Linked DNA regions of Callithrix jacchus. The protein of the gene in region 1 binds, or shares a complex with, the protein of each later gene. Links are inferred from orthologs where the notes say so. Each region holds a gene or a part of one and is shown on either strand. Other genes may lie near its edges.

Region 1 (4,519 bases):
TGCCTCACTGCAACCTCTGCCTCCTGGTTCAAATGATTCTCCTGCCTCAGCCTTCCAAGTAGCTGGGATTACAGGTGCCAGCGACCACACCCAGCTAACTTTTGTATTTCACCATGTTGGCCAGACTGGTCTCAAGCTCCTGACCTCTTTTTTTTTTTTTTTTTTTTTTGAGACGGAGTCTTGCTCTTTCGCCAGGCGCCAGGCTGGAGTCCAGTGGCGCGATTTCGGCTCACTGCAACCTCCACCTCCTGGGTTCAAGCAATTCTCCTGCCTTAGCCTCCCGAGTAGCTGGGACTACAGGCGCACGCCACCACACCCAGCTAATTTTTTGTATTTTTAGTAGACAAGGGGTTTCACCAATGTTGGCCAGGATGGTCTCAATGTCTTGACCTCGTGATCCACCCTCCTCGGCCCACAATTCTGGGATTACAGGCGTGAGCCACCTCTCCGGGCCGAACTCCTGACCTCAATCAGCCCACCTCCACCTCCCGAAGTGCTGGGATTACAGGCGTGAGCCAACACGGGCCAGAACATGTTTGTTGGATGGATGAATGAATGAACGACTGTCCTGGAGATGAAGATCTACAAAGCTGGGACCATGAAGGTACGTAAGGCCAGAGAAGTTTGAGCTTGGGGAAGGAGCCTGGGAGAAAGGGTTAGTGAGTGGATGAGGGTTTGAAGTCTTAAGTTTGTGGGGAGTGAGATTTGAGGGGAGGCGTCTGAGTGGTGGAATGGAAAGGTATGGGGGCCCTGGAGTGGGACAGGAAGGCGGGGAATGAAACAACAAGCACTTTATGACATTCACTTAATCCACACAACAACCCAATGAGATCGTCATTTTCCCCATTTTACGGATGGGAAAACTGAGGCATACTGAGGCGAGACACTTGCCTGGGGGAAATCGCCAGTGGGGGTGGTGCTGAGATTCAAACCCAGGCGGTTGGCTCCAGACCGTGCTCTTGATCAGTTTGGTACCGGCCCGCCACACAGTAATCTCGCAGGTTTGCCCTACGGCCATTGACACCAGCTGAGGCGGCGGCGCGGGGCCTTGGGGGTGCGGGCAAAGGGGTCTTTGAGGTCGCCCTTGGACCTGACGACCAGCCAAGCCACAGGAAGAGCTGCGCGTGGCGGCACTGAAGTAGGGCCTGTTGCCATGGGAACAAACGCAGGCCTCGGGCGGACGCATGCGCAGATCGGGGAGAGGGTGTTGAACCGGTGAAAGGTGACGTAAAAGCGCACGGGGTGGGGCGCGGGGCTCGGGACGTCAAAGCTCTGCGTCCTTCGGCCCCAGGAGCGGATAGGGACGCACAGCGGCGGCGACAGAAGCGACGGCAGCGGCGACAGCAACCCCTGCTGGGCCGAAACTGGGCAGAGCAGAGCCGACGTCTGAAGCAGCGCGAGTGAAGCGCGAGGGTAGCGCCCGCGTCCGGGAAGACCCCTCGGCGCGAACCGGCGGCCCAGCCCGGGGTCCGGGGCCTCGAGGCCCCGCCTCTAAGGCCTGGGGACTAATCGGATTGAGAGCGCGCCGGCCCGGGCGGCGAACTCGCCAATTGCAGAGGGCGGCAGCCACCGCCCAATCCGGAGCAGACAGGTGCGAGGTCCGGAAGGCGGAGACCAATCGGTGGCGGTTGCGACCTGCTGGGGCAGGTCTCGTCCAATAAGGAGGCTCGAGTGACATCTTCAGGCGCCAATCGGGAGTGAGGGAGCATTCGAGCCCGCTCGCCCTTCCGGCCAGACCTCTATTTACCAGAGGCGTGCAGCCCGCTTGCCAATCAGAGCGCGGCTGAGCGGCCCGGCGGCCAACCCCCGAGGAGCGGCTGGCTGGCGTCCGCCGCGCCCAGGAGTTGGGGATGTCCTACAAACCCATCGCCCCCGCCCCCAGCAGCACCCCTGGCTCCAGCACCCCTGGGCCGGGCACCCCGGTCCCTACAGGTGAGGATCCAGCTCCACCCCTGCTCGCCTGCCGGGCGGTCGAGGTCTCGAAGAGAAGACGGCCTGAGTTCTGCAATACTGGGCCTGCCGCCTACCCCTCGCTGAGCCTCAGTTTGCTGGCCTGTGAAATGGGCGTGGTCATGTAAGGGCTTGTAGGTGGAGCTCAGGGGGAGGGATTTGTCCCTGAAGTTAATCAGCATGGAATGAAGCATCCTTTGGAGGGAATCGGGCGAACGCGGTCCTGGGCTTGGAAAAGCAGGGAGGCGCGTCCCTGCCCAGCGCTGACCTCTTACTCGCGCCTGTTGCTGCAGGAAGCGTGCCGTCGCCGTCGGGCTCAGTGCCAGGAGCCGCCGCCCCTTTCAGACCGCTGTTTAACGACTTTGGACCGCCTTCCATGGGCTATGTGCAGGTGAGTGGGGCCAAAGCCTTGCTTATGGATGGGGACTGGAGTTTCCTTCCCTGCCAGGTGCCTGAGCTCACTGCCCTGTTCTCTTTTGACATAGGCGATGAAGCCACCCGGCGCCCAGGGCTCCCAGAGCACCTACACGGACCTGCTGTCCGTCATAGAGGAGATGGGCAAAGAGATCCGGCCCACCTATGCTGGCAGCAAGAGTGCCATGGAGCGCCTGAAGAGAGGTAAGTGAGGCCAGGCCGCCCTGCCCTGCCCTGCTCCCCTGCTCAGGAAGCCGACACTGCACTATCCTTCATTAGGGAAGTAAGGACATCTGGAGGCCACCCGAGCGACGCCTAGACTAGGGCCAGTATTACTATGCAGAGAGGTATTTTGAATTGAAATTGAGTCCGTTTCCAGGGAAGAGCCTGGGAATTTGTATTTCAACAGGGCCACCTTGAGGATTAGCCAAACCTCTAATCTCATCTCGCCATTATTAGATTTGAATTTCTCTTGCCGAAAGGAAAGGGAGTGGGGAGGCAGTGGTGGTCCTCTGGAGGGCGGAGGTGGGGCTATGGAGGGTTGCTGAGACCCCACCCTACCCCCAGGTATCATCCATGCCCGGGCCCTAGTCAGAGAGTGCCTGGCAGAGACAGAGCGGAACGCCCGCACGTAACAGGAAGCCTCTCGGCCTCAGCGTCTGGACCTTTCCCGGCCACTGCAGAGCACCCGCTTCTCCCTGGCCATCATCCCGAGTTGCACTAACCATCCTGGGCTTCCTGTCCTGTGTCCTTTGGTGGGTGCCCTCCAGGAACCAAAGGGTGGCTCTCACTCCAGGTGGCAGCACTAAGAACGACCCCCCCCACAACAAGAGTTTAGCAGCGAGGTCCCTGTGAGTCGCGCCCATGACCTGCCGACAGTGTTGCCCACCGGAACTTTCTGTGGCCCCCACTGCTCAGCCCCTCCCAGCACTTCTCCCACTTCGTCCCGAGCCTCCCTCTCTCCCAGCAGGGGCTCAGGCCTGGCACCTGCTTGCCTTGTGTCCTGGGCCATAGTGACTCTTTTCTCTGTGTGTCTTTTGCTAAATATGCCCTTTTTATATTAATAAAAGATGATTTGGAGTTGTGCTGTCAGCTCTGAGCCTTTCTGGGTCTGGTTCTTCAGTTAAGCCTGGGTGGGCCAGGCAGAGAAGGAAGAGGAGACTAGGGGTGGGGAGGGTGTGACTGAATGGGGTTTGACTTGCCTCTGTGGGCCACAGGCCTCCTGTGGGACCCAGGCCCTCTCCTGCCCCAGCCCTGGTGCTGAGAGCCCTGGGCCTTCCTGTGGTGCCACCAGGGGGCAGAGCAGGGCCTGGCTGCTTCCACAGCCCTTTGCGCTGTGGGCAGCCTGGGCCTGGAGGGCACTTCCTCTGGATTGGCAGTGATGCCTGGCAGCGTGGAAATGCCAGTTCACGTAAGCCACTCCCTTACACTCCCTAATGCCCTGACAACACCCCAGCCTCTGAATCAGCCCTGAAGGTCTCTGACACCGCAGAGAGAATGCACACTGCTGCTTCCAGCACTGGCCTCAGAGTCAAGCAGAGAGGCTGGCGGGTGCTGCCGTCACCGCCGCAGCACCTGTAGCAGGCTGGGCGTGATCCCAGGAGCCCAGCCTTGGGGTTCCTTAGGGTGCCTCGCCCTTTGCCCAGACTCCGGGTGGCTGGCTCGCCAGACTTGTGGACCCGGAAGGCAGAGGTGGGGGAGGCTTTGTGGCACCACGCAGTGGCTAGCCCAGCCACTCAGAGTGACAGCCCGCTTCTGCCTGGGTGTGTAGCTGGGTGTAGAGGCCCGGGGGCCCTGGAGGTCAGCCCTAGGTGGAGGCACATCAGAGCCACGAGCGTCTGCCTAGACTTTGGTGGGGAGGCATTTCCTCTACCCTGGGTCCCAGGTCCAAGGACTGCAGAGGGTGAGGAGAGGAGAGTGGGCCTGGGACACGCCCCCCCATATCAAACTCCACCCCTTCACTGCACACAGGAGGGCCGGACCAGGGTGGAGATAGGACCTACCAGTCTTTAGGGACCCCAAACAAAACAGAGGGACTAAGGGACTAAACAGAATTTAGGCAATGCCTCTTCCCCACTTCCCAGGGGAAGGAAGGCAGGGGTCTGTCTCCCTGCCTCCGCTGCAGGCGGGGCTGCCCGGACCCCGCCGGGGTGGG
Region 2 (4,662 bases), on another chromosome or scaffold:
ATCCTCTCACCTTAGCCTCCTGAAGTTAGAATTACAGGCGTGAGCCAATGATACAATTTGGTCTAGTTCAGAATTTTACAAATTCCCTTCAGTATTATATTCCCCAGCTTCCTCCTTCTAAACCTAGAAGAGGAAAATATTAATTCACTAAAAAGGGAGACATACATATTATGACTCTTTTTTGTTTTTTAGACAGAGTCTTGCTCTGTCGGCTACTACAACCTCCGCCTACCAGGTTCAAGTGATTCTCCTGCCTCAGCCTCCCAAGTAGCTGGGACTACAGGTGCCCACCACCACCTCTGGCTAATTTTTGTAATTTTAAGAGAAATGGGGTTTCACCTATCGGCCAGGCTGGTCTCGAACTCCTGCCCTCAAGTGATCTGACTGCCTCAGCCTCCTAGAGTGTTGAGATTACAGGCATGAGCCACTGCACCTGGCCCATGATGACTCTAAATATAAAAAGGGTCTGAGTTACAGAAGTAAACTGCTCTTTCAGAGGCTCTAAGCAATTTGAAGAAATCTGCAGACTTTTAAATATTCAGTAACAGAAAAAGCAAAAGAATATTAAGAATTCGGAATCCTGCGTAACTCTCTAAAATCTCAACTTTTTTTTTTTTTGGAGTCTTGCTCTCTTGCCCAGGCTGGAGTGCAATGGCATGATCTCGGCTCACTGCAACCTCCACCTCCCAGGATCAAGCGATTCTCCTGCCTCAGCCTCCTGACTACCTAAGATTACAGGTGCATGCCACCATGCTTGACTAATTTTTTGTACTTTTTTAGTAGAAAAGGGGTTTCACCATGTTGGCCAGACTGGTCTTGAACTTCTGACCTCAAGTGATCCACCTGCCTCAGCCTCCCAAAGTGCTAGGATTATAGGCATGAGCCACTGCACCTGGCCTAAAACCTCAACTTTCAAAGTGTCTAGGACTGAAAGTAGAGCCACCTCTTATAATCTTTACCCAGTTTATTTTTTATTTAATTTTTAAAAAATAGAGATGGGGTCTCACTATGTTGCACAGGCTGGTCTCCCCCTGCCCACCGTCCCAAAGTACTGGAATTGCAGGCAAGAATCTCTTCGCCAGGCCACCCTCTACCCAATCATCCGTCAAGGAAAAACAAATATTTTTAATATTAAAATTAAGAACACTAAATGTATACCTTGTTGAGTTCTTCTATCCTTCTTATTAGGTATGGGTTGCTGGAGGAATTCTCAAAGTACACATAATCTGTAATTAAAGGAAATACAGAATTTAATCTTTTCAACAGAAAGCTCAGATTTGTCAGTCCATGACTTTTAATGTTAGGCAATTCACATTTGAAATTAAGCTCATAATTCATTCACTGGTAAAAGCAAATAGCCTTAATATATTCTCTTATCTGCCTACGATTCACAGACCTTTATTTTCTTGGCATTTTCATTTCAATTAACGTTTTACCAGGTTCTCCTAGACTTCTGTCCCAATATGTCATTTCTTTAATAATAAACAAAAAAGGCACCTCTTATCACTGTACAGTTAGGGCACACTAAACATGTGTCCTCTGTACTGTAACTACTTCCACATCTTTTTCCTCCAATCCAATTTGCCCTGGAGGCTGCTTCTCACATAAAACTATTGACCTAAGACATTCAGAGCACGGAGAAAGGCTTCACAGTCCAACCTACATTTCAATCACTACTTAAAAAAAAAAATCAGGTGAGCAGAGCAGGTAAGAGGAAGAACGCTGACAAACTTTTCCACAGCTCTGTCTGGAAAGATGAGAAAACAGGGGGGCCAAGGGGATCACTTCTAAGAGGGAAAGTGCTCTGGGGGTGATACCATAATGTTTTTTAGCCTTTTACCATATTTAATCCAAATCTATTTAATGTCTTGTGGTTAAGAAATTGCCGCAGGCTTTCAACTAAAAGGATAAAATTTTTCAAGTGTGGCTTTTCGTCTCATCTAATAGGCTCGCTGGAAACTTCCCACTGTGTGTTTATCTGAAAGGCAGGGCTGTGCTGTTATTGTCTATCTTAGCGGCTCTTTCGCGGCTCTCTTCTGCAAAGTGGCCTCATTTAGCCAGGCGATTCCTACTACTATCCATCAGAAGCTCGGCTAATGAGCAGAGAAGGAAGAGCCGGTCTCTCATACAAACACGCCACTTATCTGAATTATTATTTTACCAGGAAAGAGGGAGGAGGGCGTCTTGAGTAGGGAGAAAGTTTGTTTGACCTTATTTCTCTCTTCCGCAGAAGACTGGGAAGGAGGCAGGCAGCAGAGCAAACGTCCAGGCAGAGCTCAACTCCCCACCTCCGGCAGAGGTTCCCAGGCCCTACGAAGCCCCATTTGTGGGGGGCTGGACCAGAAACGAAACGAGGGAGGCGAGGAAGGGGAGGTGCAGGGCCCCGTCCCGCTAACAGGCCCGTCCAGCTGCGCCCCTGGCTGGGCCCCCACCCCCACCCCAGGCTCCCACTGAGGGGAGAAGGAACAGGGGAGGGGATGTCCCCCCATCCTCTCCAGCGCCTAGAAGCCACGCAAGGAGACGGCCACCTTCTCAGGGGGCTCGACGGGCCCTACTCCCATGAAGGTTTCGTGGAGGGGGGGGCGTCTGGTCATTCGTACCCCCAAGTAGAGGCCTGGCCCTAAAGACGAGGTGGGGTGAGAGGGTGAAGGTGGCCCCAGCTCCTCGCAGGCCACCGTGGGGGGAGGGGAGGGAAAAGGTGGGGGTGGGGAGCCCCGGCCCCTCTGCGGGCCCCGGCGCCCCCGTCCGCTGCGCCCTCAGCCCCCGCACCCTTGGCTCCCGGCACTTCGCTTGCGCTCGCCCCGGCCCCCGCCCCCCGCTCCCGGAGCCCGCTCCCACACGGGCCGGGTCGGGCCGAGCCTGCCTACCTCCGACCCGGTACATGTTGGCCGCCATGTCCGCCCGCCCGCCCGCGGAGCCCGAGCCGAGCCCCGCCCGCTGCCGCCGCCGCCTCCTCAGCCTCAGCCTCGACCGCCGCTGCCGCCGCCGCCGCCGCCGCTGCCTAGCCACCGGGGGGAAGGGAGGGAAGGGAGGGGGCGGGGGAGGGGGAAGTGAAGGGGAGGGGACGCCGAGGGGTGGGGGCTGGTGCCCGCCCCCAGCGCCAGGCTAGCGAAGCCGAGTGGGCCGGGCCGGGCCGGGGGAGGCCCGAGCGCTGTGGGGCCAGCGGGAATTGGGGGGAGGGAATGGGAAGCGGGAGGGAGAGTGGGGTGCCTTGTTGGAAGTGGAGGGCCCTGGGGCCAGGGTCCTGGCCGAGGCGGAAGTCTGGACTGAAATGCGGACCAGGGGCTGTTAGAGAATTGGAGTCGGGGCTGGCGCTCAGCCTCTCCGCAGGGCCTCTTGCCCCACCCAGGGTATCCCATCACCTGCCCACCCCGAGACAGGTCCTCCTTCCCTGCTTCCGTCCCTGAGGAACCCCCGTGTGTCTGACCTAGTAGGCAAGCGCCAGTCTCAGTGCAATCTCTTGGATGCAAATAAGTGTAAGCAGCAGGGTTCCTTCCTTCTGGTGAGGTCCACGGGGGCGGCCTGGTACCTGCAGGTTCTGGGGCCAGGAAGACCCCACGTAGTTCCCGCCTCGCCAGAGACCCAGCCGGGGACAGAGCTAGAAAAACTCCCTTCTAGGCCACCCTAAATGCGCCATCGTTCATCCCAACTGAGCAGAACCAACTCTCCAACACCCAGATACAGGCCCTGGCTCTAGACAGGCCCTATTTATGCAGTGCCTGTTCTTCTGGGATAAGGGACCTTTAGGATTGGGGGCTTCCTTTGTCCATGGGGGAACAGGACCCTACAGTTCACGATCACCACCACCCCCAAGAAGAGGAGATGCTGTTCAATCAGCTTGATATTGATGGACACTTAACTGGTTATGTGTCTAAAGCTTCTAAATGGTTATTGTCGCAGGCCAATTCTCTAAACAACCTCTGTTTTCACGGCCTTCCTACTCTCACAGAAACAACAACAAAAAAAAATGTTGAATCTTAACTGGCTATCCCCCAAACGACCAAAAATAACTTTCTTTAGAGAAGACAGTCCATTCCAAAGTACTCCCAGACATCACTGCATAATAAACATGAAGACGATTTACTGGTGTGGTGGCTTGTTTGCAATGTCTTGTGATACACAGCTGTGTGCTGCCAACTTGAGTTTGAGGTGTGTGCGGGGGTAAGAGGTGCCCCCAGAAAAGAAGTTGTGTTTTGGTTGTTTGGTGGTGACATTTGTGATGGTCCCTTATCACAAAGTATTGATATGAAAAAAGTGTTCTGCGTAGCTGAGGCAAAACATACAAATAAATAACAAAGCACCGTTGAATTATATTGACTCTATGACCTGTTTCCTTGCCCATAAAGTGGGGACACCAATTCCCCTTCATAGGTGTGGAAAGGATCAGTTGTGATATCTGAAAATGGTTTGTAAACCAGGGAACACAGAGCACCATGCAAATAACAGGTGTCTCTTGCTTTTCTTTTTAACCCAAGAAAACCTCAGATTCCCAAGGGTTTTCTGCTGTGTGTCAAAATATGAGCCATGTGTCAATTTCTGACCCAGAGAAGAAAGCAAAAGTGTTCTGTTCCGCAGATTGCATAGCTGTCATTCAACATTTACCAGAGATCCCACCAAAAAACATTCTGACAAAAAATGACTGACATCACCCCTTTCTGAGCT

The links. Proteins that work in one complex are often made in the same cells at the same time.
Region 2: CDK2AP2 (region 1) and MTA3 share a complex: the UniProt entries of both Homo sapiens proteins name them as parts of the nucleosome remodeling and deacetylase (NuRD) repressor complex. The link is inferred for Callithrix jacchus from reciprocal best matches to the Homo sapiens genes CDK2AP2 and MTA3.

Annotation. Positions count from the first base shown.
Region 1 is NC_133511.1:124,584,280-124,588,798, reverse strand, and holds CDK2AP2 (cyclin-dependent kinase 2-associated protein 2), read left to right. Parts: upstream 1-1,770; 5' UTR 1,771-1,850; coding exon 1,851-1,932; exon of another isoform or gene 1,933-2,074; intron 2,075-2,243; coding exon 2,244-2,341; intron 2,342-2,435; coding exon 2,436-2,568; intron 2,569-2,931; coding exon 2,932-2,999; 3' UTR 3,000-3,456; downstream 3,457-4,519. UniProt on the Homo sapiens protein: Acts as a component of the histone deacetylase NuRD complex which participates in the remodeling of chromatin.
Region 2 is NC_133515.1:72,273,237-72,277,898, forward strand, and holds the start of MTA3 (metastasis-associated protein MTA3), read right to left. Parts: upstream 2,926-4,662; 5' UTR 2,896-2,925; coding exon 2,868-2,895; intron 1,227-2,867; coding exon 1,159-1,226; intron 1-1,158. UniProt on the Homo sapiens protein: Acts as a component of the histone deacetylase NuRD complex which participates in the remodeling of chromatin.